Macaca fascicularis: one gene and its partners. The main gene of each other region encodes a partner of the protein of the gene in region 2 in a complex. Links are inferred from orthologs where the notes say so. Each region holds a gene or a part of one and is shown on either strand. Other genes may lie near its edges.

Region 1 (4,832 bases), on a different chromosome or scaffold from region 2:
CAACTGACTGAAGAAAAAGACTGAATCCTATATTATATGCAAAGGAGTAAGATACACAACTCAAATTAAGTATTCCCAGATGACAATTATGACTTCAAAATACACAATGGGTCTCACAGTCAAGAGACCCAAGTCCTAGTCCTTAACAGCCCCACCGCTAAGCTTCTAGGGTGCTTTAGGAATATTTGAGTCTCAGTTCCCTCATTTATTAATACATTCCCTTACAGAATACAGAACTCTCTGAATATTCAGTTCCTCAACTACATGATGAAGTGGTGAAATGATCCATGTCTATGCTCTCTTTCAGCTTTATGATTCTAAGGAGAAAGAGAATCTGCATTATTACTACCATGAGACTTAGATGAAGCCTGCTTATGTACCAATAAAGTAGAAAAGAAAAATACGGGAAAATAAGCCATTTGAGGACCACACAAATATTCACCAATACTACCATATTTTTGTGAATTTTCTTCACAATACTACCATACAGAAAGGCCTTTCTAAAGAACTTTCTTTTCCAGGATAAGCAGTTACCCTAAACCAAGAAGACCAAAGCATCTATTTAAAAAGGTAAGTTGTCCAGGCATGGTAGCTCAATCCTATAATCCCAGTACTTTGGGAAGCCAAGTGGGGCAAATCACTTGAGGCCAGGAGTTCAAGACCAGCCTGGCCAACATGGTGAAATCCCATCTCTACTAAAAATACAAAAATTAGCCGGGCATGGTGGTGCACGCCGGTAATCCCAGCTACTTGGGAGGCTGAGGCACATGAATCACTTGAACCCAGGAGGTAGAAGTTGCAGTGAGCCAAGATTGTGCCACTGCACTCCAGCCTGGGCAACACAGCGAGACCCTGTCTCTAAAAAAAATAAAATGAAAAGTAATACAAAATAAAAACGATGAATTACTAACAATTATACAATCTTCTAATCAGCAGATTTTCCTTTTATTTTCTCTCAGTATTTTCACCCAGTTCTTCAATCTTCAGAGAACTTGTTTTGACAAAATGAGAAGCTGAGCCCTAATTAAACTTATCTAAAGAATGTATAATTATTAAAAATCTGATTTTCTTATGTATTTGTATAGAAGAGTGCTGGTATACTGAAAGATCAAATTGTAGTTTAAGAAAGGCAGCAATGAAGATATATAACAATTAATGTTACATTAATATTAAACTCCAGGTTAATTTTCCCAAATAATGTTATGGGTCAGTTTCCAAATTCTCTTTATTCATGTTATAGTCCAACTTTTCGATCTTCCAAAGTCAAAATAATCTTCACTTTACCTTCTATGTAGCCTTCTACCTCCTCTATTGTGCGTCCATCTCTCTATCTCCCCCTGCTAAGGTTTTCTCCTTTTTCTACTGTATATCACAGCAGGTCTCCACTTCAATTCTTAGTTTCCTTCCCTGGTTTTTCCACTTGTTCTTCCCATTCCTTTACCCCACTGTTTTATAGGATTCTCCTTTCTTTTCATCCCTAGGACTTACTGTCACAGTACTGCATCTCCTATTCTCGCTTCTTTTGGTAAGTTTTTACACACATTACTTCTTCAGAACCTAAGGTTTCTCTTCTGTAGTCCTTTTTCAAAGAATATTTATCAATTCATCTCTAGAATCCCAAATATACTCTTGAGTCCTCATACCTAAGTATCCTTCCTACTCCTTTTCTCTTTACAGTCACTAATTCCCAGAATCCTGTCTGAAACTACAAATATCCCCTCAAAACCAAATGCCTATTCAATTGTCTCCACTTTCCAGCAATTATCCCATGTTCACCTCATTCTTTGTCCTCGGCCCAAGTATCCCCTAACCTGGCACAAGCCATTTAATGATCTAAAATTCCAAAGCCTATCTCTTCAACATGGCTCTCCTCTCTTTCCAGCAAACTGTTTCCCTAACTCCCAATGCTTCACTAATTCAAAGTCTTAGGCCAGTACATTGCTTCCCTCAGATCTATTAGCCCCGCAAAAACTGATTGCCCAAATCTTCCTCTAAGCTTCCCAGACCTTACAACTGCAGCACTTCCATTCACCAAACCGCATTTATAGTTATTTCTCAATCTTTAGAGCCTATGGTCACTTTGCAAATTCTTCAGTCCTCTCCTTCTTCTCTCTCCCTTATCCTGTCCAGCTTCTCAGCACATTCCTATTACCCTTAACAATCTTCATGGCTATATTCTCCACCTTACCTTAGGCCTACTCCCCAAACTTTCTCATTCTCCCTTAAGAGGCCTAATCTCACCTCTCATTCCCTGACTGTCTTTAGACCTCTGGGAATTATCTAGAATCGTCTGCTTCCTAGTGCTCCTCTTTCGTTCTCCAACCCTGTCCAACTCCCTAAGCTTTTCTACTATCTAGTTCTCACAGTATACATATTAGAACTTTTACAATATCCACTCCTCCCAAACCTTTTCTTAGTTGTTGCCTCAATTCCCCTCAACTTTTCTCTCGGTCATTCCCCATTTCCCTCCACCTTCCCTGGCCGATTTTCCTCCACCTTTGTCACCTTTTTCTAAACCTCCTTCATTCTGGAGGTGATTCTCAGTTATGTTAGTCTCTCAGCTTCCCCAACCTTTGCCTCATTCCCCTCTCCCTCCAACAACATTATTTTTCCTCCAGTTTCTATTGACTTGGCGCCTCCCCTAGTTCCCCAATCTGCCTTCTACTCCATCTAAATATCTCCAGGCCGCCGCCAACATTTTCTCCTATCGGTAGACTCCTTCCCCGTGCCTCTCTGAACGCTCAGAGCCACCATTCTCCAATGGCCGGGGCCTGGCCCCTAGGTAGGAGTATGGGTCACGTACCCCATTCGCATCTTGGCTCCGCTCTGACTGCCCCCACTGCCGGGTAGAGGTGGGCGAGAGGGAAGGCGGCCGAGGTGCATGCTCTTTTCGAGGGCCGACATCAAGGAAAGGCTGCACGCACGTAGTCAAACAGTAGGCGAACCTTCGTCCCACGTTGAGTGTGGCCCAACCGGTCACGACTCGCTCCCCTAACGACGCCCAGTCGCCTTTGGACAGCACCCAGCTACCGGTAGCACCGCCTACCGCCCACCGGCTCTGCAAACTCCACCCACTCGCTTCAGCACTTCCACCGGAAGTGCGCAACAGCCCTCACACAAAGGAAGCTGGGTAACAGAGTCTGCGAACTCCGCAGACTCCCAACTGGAAACCCGACAACTTTCACCGGAAAGAGGAGCCGTCTTCAGGGCAATGCACCCTGGGCAATGGAGTCCTCAACGGGCGTATCCGTATGCGCTTGCGCAGCCGGAGGCGCCCCCAGCCAACCCCGCAGAGGTATTGTAGCAAAGCATCCTGGGTATTGTAGTCTATTGGCGGGAAGGCGTCTTGGCGCCTTCTCTTCCCACTGTTTTCCGGAGACTGTTAGAGGAAGAGTGGCTTTTTCCTGCCTCCCAGGCTGCCCAGCGGCGCCGGTTGCCGGGGAACGCAGGCGCCGTGGGGAGGGATGGCGGGAGGCGGCTGCTTAGGTGGTGGAGACAGAGTTGTGCTGATGAAGAAGAGCTCGGGCTCATCATGAAGCAACGTAAAGGCCAAGGGCCTGGGGGCAGCCGTGGGCGCAAAAAAAGAGGTAACCCGAGCGATCAAAGATTGAGGAAAGCGTTAACAGGGGAGCAGGGTGTAAGGAATTTTAGGGAGACCCCCACCCCCGCTGGATAAACAAGAAAAGGGACGTAAGAAGGGAAATAGCCAGGGGACCAGAAGGTTAAAAGGAAGGGCAATTGGCCCTCCAGAGAATAGAAAGGAATTAGGGGCTGGGGTAGGGGCCACAAAGTGGTGATTAATGAGATGAAGGTTACCGGTGGGATGACTGTAGAGGAGAAGAGCAAACAATAATAGGATTGGTTTTGATAACGAAGTGAAATGTATGTGTGCGAGTAGCTTTAGAGGTCCGCAGGGACAGGAAGAAACATAAATTGGCAAAGGGATGATATCATTTCTTGTGTGATTGTGGACAAGAATCACGTTTTATACATTACTGAATGACCAAGGATTAGTACAAAGCAGGACTCGGTAAATGTTTGTTGAATGAATGAAGCATGAAGGACTGGCTATGAGCAGGAGTTGGGGAAAAAATAATTGTAGAGTATAGAGCGGGGAAGAGTGGGGAATGACAAGTGTGATAGGATTGAAGTGGGGGTAAGGGCATGAGGTTCTCCTGAAGGACCTGAGATCGTGAAAGAGTGTACAGCAGAGAGTCCTTATCAGGTTAACACCTCGAGGAGACACAGGCTCACCGAGTAGGGGATGTTAGCTGCAGTGAGAACAGTCAAACTGGGGACCGAGGGCAGATCAGGAAACTGGATATTGAATCTCTACAAGACTGCCTCGAAGGGAAAAAGGACAGTGGGTGAACCTGCCTTTTTGCATCGTAGGCAGTTTAGTGAGAAAAGAAGTATTGGTTTGGAGCAGTGATAGGACATTAGGCCATTAGGTTGAGGACTGAAGCTACAATCTGGGAATTACTCTTATCCAAGCTGTTTAAAGATTACTAAGGCAGTTTTGAGGTAGTGACTTTCCTGCCACGAAAGATAGGAGGATCTGAGACTGAAGCATACTAGTGCTCCCTGTGTCAAACCAGTTAAGCATGTTTGGTTGATAAGCGGAAAGTCAAAGTAGAAATAGTATAGTATAGAACAGAATATACTTTTTTTGCTATACCATTTCCATAGTAGAAATATATACACAATCGTGTATAATTTTTATGTTGAAACTATCCGTAAGGATTATGGTGGGTCTTTTCTCCACTATGGAGGGCAGAGGGGATGTTTGCATTAGAAGTCCAAATAATTAGTCCTGATACATTCCATATATT
Region 2 (5,144 bases):
ACACCGGCAAACACAACTTACTTTCTGGACCTCCCACAACATTCCTCACTTTAGATCTTTTTTTTCTTATCCCCTGTCTTTCAGCTTTCCCATTGCAGAACTACTGAGAATAATCGAAAATGCTCTGCCTGGCAACTTCCAAGAACAAAACCCCAGGGACTAAGAGAACGCGATGATTTTTAAGCTGCCAGTTAAGATGTAGCTCCTTCATCATCACAGGTGAAGCACCAATGCCTCTCGCACGTGAAATCCGTACACTCCTAGAGTCTTACTACATAATGCATTTCCGCAATCCGGGACGCCTGTCATTAGCGTCTCCAATAGTTCTGGGAACGAGGTGGACTGCGGAAGTACTGTATTAAAAAGTTAACGTTTTTCCCTGGGACACCCCCTCCTCACAGCTATTAACGAGGGGAGAGAAATCAGGTGACTCCCAGTCATCATGCAGAGGTTTCCTTACCATTTACGATCCAGTCAAATTAAAGAATAAAAATAAAATCCTACTGGCGCAACGGCCACCAAGTCTTCGAGGCCTGGCCTCGGTGGGCGGGGCCGAGGCCGGAGGAGAGGGGCTGCACGAGTGGGCGTGACCTCGCGGAAGGAGCTGCGGAGGGCGGGGCCAACGGGGAGCGGCGGGGCTGTCGGGTGGGTGGGACCTCGCCGGAAGAGCTGCGGAGGGCGGGACCAACCAGGAAAGGGCGGGGCTGTCGGGTAGGCGGGACCTTACGAGAGAAACTGCGGAGGGCGGGACCAACTAGGGAGGGACGGGCCTGTCGGATGGGCGGGACCTCGAGGGAGGATCTACGGACGGTGGAGCTGGTGAGGGGAGGGGCTATTCAAGAGGAGGAGCCGGTCGAGGGGAGGGGCTGGTCGAGGGGAGGGGTTGGTCGAGGGGAGGGGTTGGTCGAGGGGAGGGGTTGGTCGAGGGGAGGAGCCGGTCGAGAGGAGGGGCCGGTCGAGGGGAGGGGCCGGTCGGGGGGAGGGGCCGGTCGAGGGGAAGGGCTGGTCGAGGGGAGGGGAGGGGTTGGGGGCTGGTTGAGGGGAGGGGAGGGCAGGGAACGGGAGGGGAGAGGTTGGGGGCTGGTTGAGGGGAGGAGAGAGGAGGGGAGGGGAGGGGAGAGGTTGGGGACTGGTTGAGGGGAGGAGAGGGAGGGAGGGGAGGAGAGGGAGGGAGGGGAGGAGAGGGAGGGAGGGGAGGAGAGGGAGGGAGGGGAGGGGAGGCGGGGCCTAGCGGGGTCCCGCGAAACAGCCGCTCTCTCGGTTCCCGGGCCTCTCTGTGCGCCTCAGTGCAAAGCGTGCGGGGCACTCTTGACTGCAGCGAGACCTGCGGCGGTGAGGGGGCGAGGCCAGGAGGCCGCGGTTCACGCCTCGCCGGCTGCAGAAGTTGTTGCCATACATTTCAAATGTGCATTTCCTACGTCTCACGCTCTGTCTTGCGCCTCCACAGCGGGCCACGGCCCTATCACCGCAATCGCAGCCACACGCTCCCTCCCCTGACTTGGCTCGGCTCTGCTCTGCGGCCAGGCCCGTGCCCTGAGGCCGCGGCCTGCCTTAGGCCGGCTCGCGGCGACTCGCGACGGAGAGCGCGGGTGTGAACGGGTCGCGCGGAGAGGGTGGGGGGAGCGGGGAGCGTTAGGGCACGTGGGGGCGCGTCGACCAATGGCAGGGCGCTGTTGAGGGCAGCGGGGCGGGCCCGGGCGCGGGGGCGGGGCGAGAGGCGAGCGGGCGGGGCGGCCGGCCGGGGGTGGGGAGGGGCGGGGCGGGCCGGCCGGGGGAGGGGCGGAGAGACGCCGCCGCCGCTGCCGCCGCCGCCGCCGCCGCCGCCGCGGCTGCCGCAGCCTTTGGGAGCCTGGAAAAGGGGAAGCGAGAGCGAGCGAACGACTCAGTCCCCGGGCGGCGGCGGCGGCGGCGGCGGCGGCGGCCGCGGGGGCGCGACGGCCGGGGTGGGGGCGCTGCTGCTGCGGGGGCAGGCGGCGGCAGGGGCGGCGGCGGCGGAGGTGGCCCGCTCCAGCCATGCCGAATAAAAACAAGAAGGAGAAAGTGAGTCCGGGCCCGGCCGCGGGACGGAGGTAGCGGGGAGGGACTGCCGCGGGAGGGCGCGACGGCACCGGGGTCCTGCGCCCGGGCCCCGGCTCAGCCTCCCCGCCCGACACCGCGGGCTCCCCGTCCCCGAGGGCGGCCGGGCCAGGCATCCCCTGGCTTCTCTCGCCCTCAAGCCTGGTGGGGGCGGGGAGCCCGGGGATCGCGCCGGAACCGCGGGGCCCAGGCCCGGGCCGCGGGGACCTTCGTGACGGGCCGGGGTTGAGCGTGGAGGGAGGGCGCGGCCCGGGGAGAGGGTCGGAGGGGCGCCGGCCCCCGACAGCGCGCCGTGGGCCTGGGCGGGCAGGTGCGGCCGCCGAGGGGTTTCGCAGCCTCGCAGTCTCCCGGAAAGGAGCTTCAGGGATGGGGGCTGTAGACTCCTGGGGAGGGACCCCTGGACGGGGGAAAGGGAGCGGGAAGGGACCCCGCTGAAAGCTGGTAAGGAATTCTGTGCCGCCCCAGAGGGACGCTGTGAGGCTCTCAAACACTATTATTATCCTGGGTGGCGGCGGCGGTGAGGGCTGCGAGCAAGGGTGCTGCGTTTGCATTCGAGGGGGGCGGGTATGTTTCTGCTTCAGGTGGAGCTCTGTAGCGTTTCATTATCACCCCAGAAATCCTCACTCATAGGGTTTAGGGTGGGAAGGAAGAAAGGGATGTGATATGGATCTCAAAATGCCAGAAGCACTGTGTAAAATTGGATATATCTGTTTTCTGCTTGAAGTTTTCAACCTCAAATGCAGATAAAACGAAAGGAATCTGAATGGGGGGTGGGGGGCATTGCACTGTTGGAATCCTAAACAATGTGATTTAGAATTTCCTAATGGGATGAAATAAAAATATCAGAAGCTCTAGTTAAGTTGTATAAATAAATCACTTTTAAAACTGCATTTGGCTTATCTGATATTTACCTGTCTAAAAAGTGAGAAGACTAATTGCCTTTGCTTGATGTTTACCAGGAATCACCAAAAGCAGGAAAGAGTGGAAAAAGTTCAAAAGAAGGACAAGACACAGTAGAATCAGAGGTAACTGTCATCAAATATTGACTTTGTATTTCATACACAGCTTTTAACTTAAGGTAGAAAAACTGAGAGTGATAAAGCCTAGAATCTTCTAAAATGCTTCTCTCTGTGAGGTTTTTTTTTTTTTTTGTGGTGTCTTTCATAACCCTCAATTTTAGTTGTTTAGGTATTTACTGTTTTGCTTTGGAAAACTATTAATGATTTTATGAAAATTGTGCTTGCCTATGGAGTTGGTTTGTGGGTCTTTTGGGGGTATTTTGTTTGTTTGTTTTTGAGACTGGGTCTCACTTTGTCACCCAGGCTGGAGTGCAGTGGCTCAATCTCTGCTCACTGCTACCCCTCACCTCCCAGGCTCAAGTGATCCTCTTACCTCAGCCTCCCAAGTAGCTGGGACCACAGGCACATGCCACCACATGCAGCTAATTTTTTTTTTTTAATGGAGTCTCACTCTGCCACCCAGGCTGGAGTGCAGTGGCTCGATCTCAGCTCACTGCAACTTCTGCCTCCTGAGTTCAAGCGATTCTCCTGCCTCAGCCTCCTGAGTAGCTGGGATTACAGGTGCCCACCACCATGCCCGGCTAATTTTTGTATTTTTATTAGAGATGGGGTTTCACCATGTTGGTCAGGCTGGTCTTGAACTCCTGACCTCGTGACCTGCCCACCTCAGCCTCCCAAAGTGCTGGAATTATAGGCCTGAGCCACTGTGCCCAGCCTGGAACTGGTATTTTTAAGTTCATTTCCCACACCTCAAACCCAGCAGCCCTCCTGTATAGGTTGGTGTTATGGGGTCTATGGTGGGTGTTGCTATGTTGCTTTTAGCTTTAGGGTCATCCCCCGCCACCGCCACTTCTTTGCAAGCTGCCAGGCGACTCAGTGGTTGGTTCTTTTTCTTCCATCACCTTTGTTTTCCTTCATACTATCTCTGCTACTGACGTCCTGGGCTAGCTCCCTATTTCTGTTGATGATTCCTTGGCCTCTTTCCCCCGTAATGTTGGTATTTGAAAAATTTACCTGATTTTGATATGTTATTGTTGTTCACATTCTGTATGTGTGTGTGTGCGCGCCTGCGTGCGTGCACGCGCGTGCATTGGCCACTTGTGAATTTCTTTGCCTCTTGGCTTTGGCCTCATTGAGGAACAGCTGGAATGCCAAGTGAGGACTGCATCTACTTGAACAAGGTTGATACTGTTCCTTCACACCGTGAAGTGCCTTCAGAGGATTTGCAGAGTCACCACTTTCCTTTGCCTTTTCTTCCTTGTGATTTATTGTTGAACTGGAGCACCTGGGGCCAAGGGTTCAGGAGCTGCGTGGACCCAGGCAGAGCTGATGGGTCCTTTTGAATCCATGGGTAGCAGATAATTGGCTTAATAGAGTGTCATTTCTCCAGAGCTGGATCATTGAGGTCCCAGTCTTATCACAAACGACATTTATTTGCCAGTGTCAGACTTCCTCCTGTAAGCCAAATTAGAATGAGTTCAGTTCTGTCTGGGAAGCACAGTGAACTGGCGATGATCTGCAGTGGACTTTTTTTTAGCTCTGCGTTCTCTCTTTTCTATCACTTGGTGTATTCTGAACCTCCCTCCTCTTCAGCAGGTGGTTTATTCCAGCAAATCTGTTGCCCTCCCCAAAGCAAAAAGCAGAAATCCAAAAGGTTCCTTAAATGTCAATAGTTAGGATCATTTGTGCCAGTCTGTCCCTCCCTGTCTTTATAGCAGACAACTGAGGTTTACTATGCCATGCTTGGATTTCACTTGCTTATTTCTTCCCTGTCACCCTTTTGACTAAATTCGTTTAGATGAAGATGAAACGTAGGTGCTTCATGGAGGTGTATGCGATATGCCTTTTTTTTTTTTTTGGTCTTTTGATCTTTCATTAAAACTGCTAAGATTTCTTCTCCCCATAACTTTCTTGCTAACGTACCTATATCCTCTTACTTTAGGGATAGGAGCATCAGTGTGTATATTTCATTTATTCCTATTTTTAGTAGGAAGATCCTGGCTGTAAGGATGAATAATGTTAAGTTTAAACCTGAAAAGTCTGTCAGTA
Region 3 (4,950 bases), on a different chromosome or scaffold from region 2:
TGCCTTGGCCTCCCAAAGTATTGGGATTAGAGGCATGAGCCACCACGCCCAGCTGGACTGGTAACCTTTTCGAGGAAAAGAAGCTCTTCCTAGAGTTGGATTTTCCCCTATCCAAACCTATTTTTTCCATTTCTTCCATTAGACCTTTGCTTTGATGATGATGATAATGATGATGATGATGATGATGATGACGACGAGGATGCTTTTGCATTTACTGAGTTTCTACTTTATGCTCAGAAACGTGTTAAAGTTTTTGCACTTAATAACATAAACTTTCATTTAATATTCATGACAACCCTACAGAGTCAGCATCCTATTGTCTCCATATTACAGATGAGGAAAGTGAGAGTTTAAGAGGTGAAATAACTTGAGTTATTAATTCAATAATTAGATAAATTCATTTCTATCTGACCTAAACACCCATAATATTAATCAAATAAGCAAATAGGGGTGGTTGCCTGACTGTCCCCTCCTTATTTAGAGACAAAAACCACAGTGAGTGCTGCACATTCCAGCCAAATTCCATCACTTCCAAGTACTGGACAGAAATGAACCGATATAGTCAGGAGGCTCCAGAGAGACACACTGGGCAAAGACTGGCTAGAAATCTAAGGGTGCTTTTGCCACTATCTTTAAGCCAGAAAGAAGTACACTCTCTTAGAAGTAAATGAAATATTTATAAAGATGATCTAACTAGAAAAACATCCCAAAGACAGACCACATTTATTAATACAAAGTTCATCAGGGTTCTGAAGGCAAAAATGAGGTGTTTCAAGACTGCACTAAAATACAAAAACTCAAGGAGAGAAGTAAATCTCCTATTTTAAATTTTAGACTAAAATGTATTTACATTTGAATACATTACCTATAGCTGTATATTATTATGTTTTGATAAGCAGTAAATCATGAGACTAGATCTTAAAAGGAAAACCACGATGGAAATGTTTAAAATATTTACTGAGGTAATAGAAAATAACTTCAATGCTGTGTACATTATTATTAAGTAGTGTATTTTGTTAGAAAGTATAATCTGTAAATAGGCACAGTAAATGTTTGCATAAGTAATATATTTCTACTACAACAGATTACCAATGTGGATGATAAAATATGAGAGGAAAATAAAATGACTTCTCTCTTAGCTCTCCTACCCTTACCCCCTCACACCTAGACCTCCCGCTTCAACCACTTGCGCTTCTCAGGAAGTGCCACACTCTTCTAAGTGCTGGTGATGTGCACAGTTCCGCCCCTGCCTGGAACTCGCTGCTCCTCCCTGTTTCTGCCTAAGCCACTTCACCTATCCTCCTCCAGGAAGCCTCCGAGATCCCCTCCTCTGTGCTGGCATCTATCATTGCACTTTTTGGTATCCACAAGAGACTAAGAATTCTTTGATGACAGAATTATTACTGTCTCTCATTGTTTTTTATATCGCAGCACATGGCACTTAGCTAAGGTACTCAATACAGTAAGTGAATGAAAATAGATTGTAAATTTGACTTTTTTTTTTTAAGAAATAAAAGGAGGGGCCGGGCCCGGTGGCTCACGCCTGTAATCCCAACACTTTGGGAGGCCGAGGCGGGCGGATCACAAAGTCAGGAGATCGAGACCATCCTGGCTAACACGGTGAAATCACGTTTCTACTAAAAATACAACAAATTAGCCGGGCGTGGTGGCGGGCGCCTGTAGTCCCAGTTACTGGGGAGGCTGAGGCAGGAGAATGGCATGAATCCGGGAGGCGGAGCTTGCAGTGAGCCAAGATGGTGCGACTGCACTCCAGCCTGGGCGACAGAGCAAGACTCCGTCTCAAAGAAAAAAAAAAAAAAGAAAAGAAAAGATATAAAAGGAAAAATATGTTTAAAATGCAAATCCTGTACAATTTTATTCTGGCCCTCATTGTTCATAAGGCGTATTTTAAAAACACATGTAGAAGGATTTACTGGACATTGTCAACTGTCCATCACTATAAATATTTCACACCTCTGAGCCATGTAAACACGCTGTTACTTCAAATTGGTTATTATTCAACGAATGCATAAACTCTGATGGTGCAGTTGAATAATTATACATATAAAATAAAACCACTTCAAAACCATGATAAAAATTAAAAAGTACAACGGTAACTACAGTTTGGATAACTAGACGCTCCCTAGCTCTGCCACTGGCTCCAATGGGGAGAAGCCATTTATCCTTTGCTCTCAGTCCCTTCACCCATGAAATGGGGGTAACCATTCCTGCCACTTCCTCCTCCCTTCGCATCTTGCGAGGAGAATGGGGGTAAAACATCTGTAAGAGCACAGATCTGACAGATATTCACAATAAAGAGCTTTACGATAAAGGCACTAGCTCAAAAGTAGTGCCTAACCCCAAAGAAGAGTTCCCACTATCACTTCCGACGGTAACAACCCTCACTCCCCGCCGCTCTGGTTAGCAGGCTGATGCAGGAGGCTCCTGCATGAAGACTTTGCAGTCATACTAAAGGCCACATGGGTGGGCACAAGTTCCTCTCGCCGGTGCTTGGTCTGAGCCAAAAGCCACGAGGAACTTGGTCACCACCAGCGGCTACGATCGCTCCCCTCCGGACCCAGGTAAACCTGCAGAGTGAAACAGACCCCGGGGCTTTCCCCTCCTCCAAGTGGGGTCAGGAGCCGAAGGGCCAGAGCAGCGGGAGGAGGAGAAGGAGCTGGGACTGGCGGGCTCGGGCGAGGAGCTCACCTGGCCTCCCCGGCAGGCGCCGGGAGCGGGTGCGGAACGAACACCCCACAGTCAGGCGGCGCCGGCTGCTGCTTCTTTTTGGAGCGCCAGAGGTGGAAGGTGGTATGCTTCTTAGGGGGCCTGCACTGGCTGGGCTCCCCGGGGTCGCCCTGGGCTGGCGGGGACAGCGGCATCGTCTTGTCCTCCTCCCGCTGCGACTGCCGGGACGCGATCCTCTCTGCCGCCCGGGCCCTGTGGAAGAACACACCTGGGCGCCAGCGCCCCAGACTTTCCCAGCGCGCCGTGGGACCCCGCCCCCTCGTCGCGGATGCGGGGGACGGCAGCGGGTTGCAGAACTAGCACCACGCGCAGCGCGAGCAGCACTGCAGCCCGAGCTCTTGGGGCGGAGGAGGGGACCCAGCCGCGGGAGAGCGCCCCCTCGCTGCGCGGGCGGCAAGGGGCGCGAGTCCAGGTGAGGCGCGCGAGCCGGGAGCCCCAGGTGAGGCAGACACGCCCCGGCTCCCCACCCCCGGGGCGCGCGGCGGCCGCGGGACAGCGACACCTACTGGATGCTCTGGGCACCGCGTCTCCCGACACTGCATCCCAGGCTCTAAGCTGGGACCCAGAGCCGGTCCGGCTTTGACAGCGCCTGGGGTGCAGCGGCCATTGTCGCCTGCGGAGTTGTTGGCTGCTCTTGGCCTCTGACAGGCTGGTAGGATGAGTCGCTGCTTAGCCACGAGCCCCGCCTGGAGAGGGATGGGAGAGGCACATCCCGGGGGCGGGCCGCCCAGTAATTAGGACTCTTCCACTCTGATCTCTGGGTGACTTGGGCAATGTCATGTGCTGGTGGCTTCTGTTCCTGTTCGTGAACCGGGTGGCAACTCTGCCAACTCCTCTCCTCTCTCAAGAGCCTGAATAATTAATTTGTACTCACATCTCATAAAACACAAAAGGATTTAAAAAATTAAAAACGCCAGAAGGGAATTAGGCATATTCCCTAATTCCCAAAGGGCTTAATAGATCCCTCGCAGTAAATTAAATGCCAGTCCCACAAGGTATTTACATCATCTGCATTACTGTTGATGACTTTCTTGTCTTAACTTCACAGTCGTGGCTAAATAGCAAAGGAAATTAATACTTAAGCAAAGTAAGTAAACGAACAATCATTTTGGGTATCATTAGAGCAAAAAAAGTGCAAGAACTAAGTACTACTTAAAAATTCAATACAGTACAAGATCCTCTTTCATGGTAATAAGTCTTTATTTTCCTCTTGAAAAACACAACTCATTCATTCGTTTATTCTCTCATTCACAGAACATTCATTTTTATTAGTTTTTATTTACATTCTTATCAAGATGTAATTTATAGACAGTAAAGTGAACAAATCATAAGGGTAAAACTCAAATTTTTACATATTTATGTGGTTGGGGTATAAAAAGTTTTTTAAAGGAGAGTTCACATTGTCCTAGAAAATTATTCTGTATGTGGCTTTTAAATATATGATTATAGGCCGGGAGCGGTGGCTCATGCCTGTAATCCCAGCACTTTGGGAAGCTGAGGCAGGCAGATCACTTGAGGTCAGGAGTTCGAGATCAACCTGGCCAACATGGTGAAACCCCTTCTCTACTAAAAATACAAAAAGAAATTAGCTGGGCGTGGTGGCAGAGGCAAGCCTGTAATCCCAGGTACTTGGGAGGCTGAGATACGAAAATCGCTTGAACCCAGGAGGCAGAGGTTGGAGTGAGTCGAGATGGTGCCACTGCACTCCAGCCTGGGCAACAGAATGAGATTATTTCTCTAATAATAATAATAATAATAAGTAAATATATATGATTATAAAAACATAGAATACTTTCAAAACTTTAGAAATCTCCCTACTGTCCTCTTCTAGTACATTACCCCTCCCACCTGTAAAAGTTAAAAACTATTTCGTCCTCTTTTGCTGGAGATTAATTTGATCTTTTCTGGAACTTCATTTTAGTGGAAAATCACAATATGTACTCTGTTTCTGGTTTGCTTTGCTCAATATCAGTCGGTAAAAATCATCTATATTGTTGCTTACATTGTAGCAATTTTTTGTCTTGTTTTGTTTGAGACAGGGTCTCACTCTGTCACTCAGGTAGAAGTACAGTGTTACCATCACGTCTCACTGCACTCACTGCAGCCTTGACCACCCGAGCTCAAGTGATCCTCCCACCTCAGCCTCCTGAGCAGCTAGGACTACAGGCACACACCACAGCACCCGGCTAACTTTTTTTGGGG

Evidence for each region. The genes of interacting proteins can lie anywhere in the genome.
Region 1: the proteins of PPP2R5C (region 2) and PPME1 are in contact, whole or in part, in a cryo-EM structure (PDB 7SOY), measured with the Homo sapiens proteins. The link is inferred for Macaca fascicularis from reciprocal best matches to the Homo sapiens genes PPP2R5C and PPME1. Residues at the interface, in NP_002710.2 of Homo sapiens: Asp180, His187, Arg188, Tyr190, Gly191, Leu194, Arg197, Ser230, Ile231, Gly234, Phe235, Ala236, Lys240, His243, Asp313, Gln341, Tyr348, Glu353, Tyr354, Glu399; in NP_057231.1 of Homo sapiens: Arg37, Lys38, Arg39, Asn192, Lys217, Val251, Glu252, Gly253, Ile254, Ile255, Glu256, Glu257, Pro345, Gln346.
Region 3: the proteins of PPP2R5C (region 2) and CRYBG1 are in contact, whole or in part, in a crystal structure (PDB 6VRO), measured with the Homo sapiens proteins. The link is inferred for Macaca fascicularis from reciprocal best matches to the Homo sapiens genes PPP2R5C and CRYBG1. Residues at the interface, in NP_002710.2 of Homo sapiens: Lys183, Thr184, His187, Tyr190, Gly191, Leu194, Arg197, Ala198, Arg201, Glu226, Ile227, Ser230, Ile231, Asn233, Gly234, Phe235, Ala236, Lys240, Glu242, His243, Pro265, Gln266, Tyr269; in NP_001358171.1 of Homo sapiens: Pro1136, Phe1138, Ala1139, Met1140, Pro1141, Pro1142, Ile1143, His1144, Glu1145, Asp1146, His1147, Glu1149.

What each region holds. Positions count from the first base shown.
Region 1 is NC_088388.1:73,042,860-73,047,691, reverse strand, and holds the start of PPME1 (protein phosphatase methylesterase 1), read right to left. Parts: upstream 3,074-4,832; 5' UTR 2,905-3,073; coding exon 2,804-2,904; intron 1-2,803. Other genes in the region: C2CD3 (C2 domain-containing protein 3), read left to right, coding at 3,533-3,587. UniProt on the Homo sapiens protein: Demethylates proteins that have been reversibly carboxymethylated. Demethylates PPP2CB (in vitro) and PPP2CA. Binding to PPP2CA displaces the manganese ion and inactivates the enzyme.
Region 2 is NC_088381.1:169,857,761-169,862,904, forward strand, and holds the start of PPP2R5C (serine/threonine-protein phosphatase 2A 56 kDa regulatory subunit gamma isoform), read left to right. Parts: upstream 1-1,843; 5' UTR 1,844-2,013; coding exon 2,014-2,040; intron 2,041-3,035; coding exon 3,036-3,101; intron 3,102-5,144.
Region 3 is NC_088378.1:68,855,415-68,860,364, forward strand, and holds the start of CRYBG1 (beta/gamma crystallin domain-containing protein 1), read right to left. Parts: upstream 3,074-4,950; 5' UTR 2,883-3,073; coding exon 2,710-2,882; intron 1-2,709. UniProt on the Homo sapiens protein: May function as suppressor of malignant melanoma. It may exert its effects through interactions with the cytoskeleton.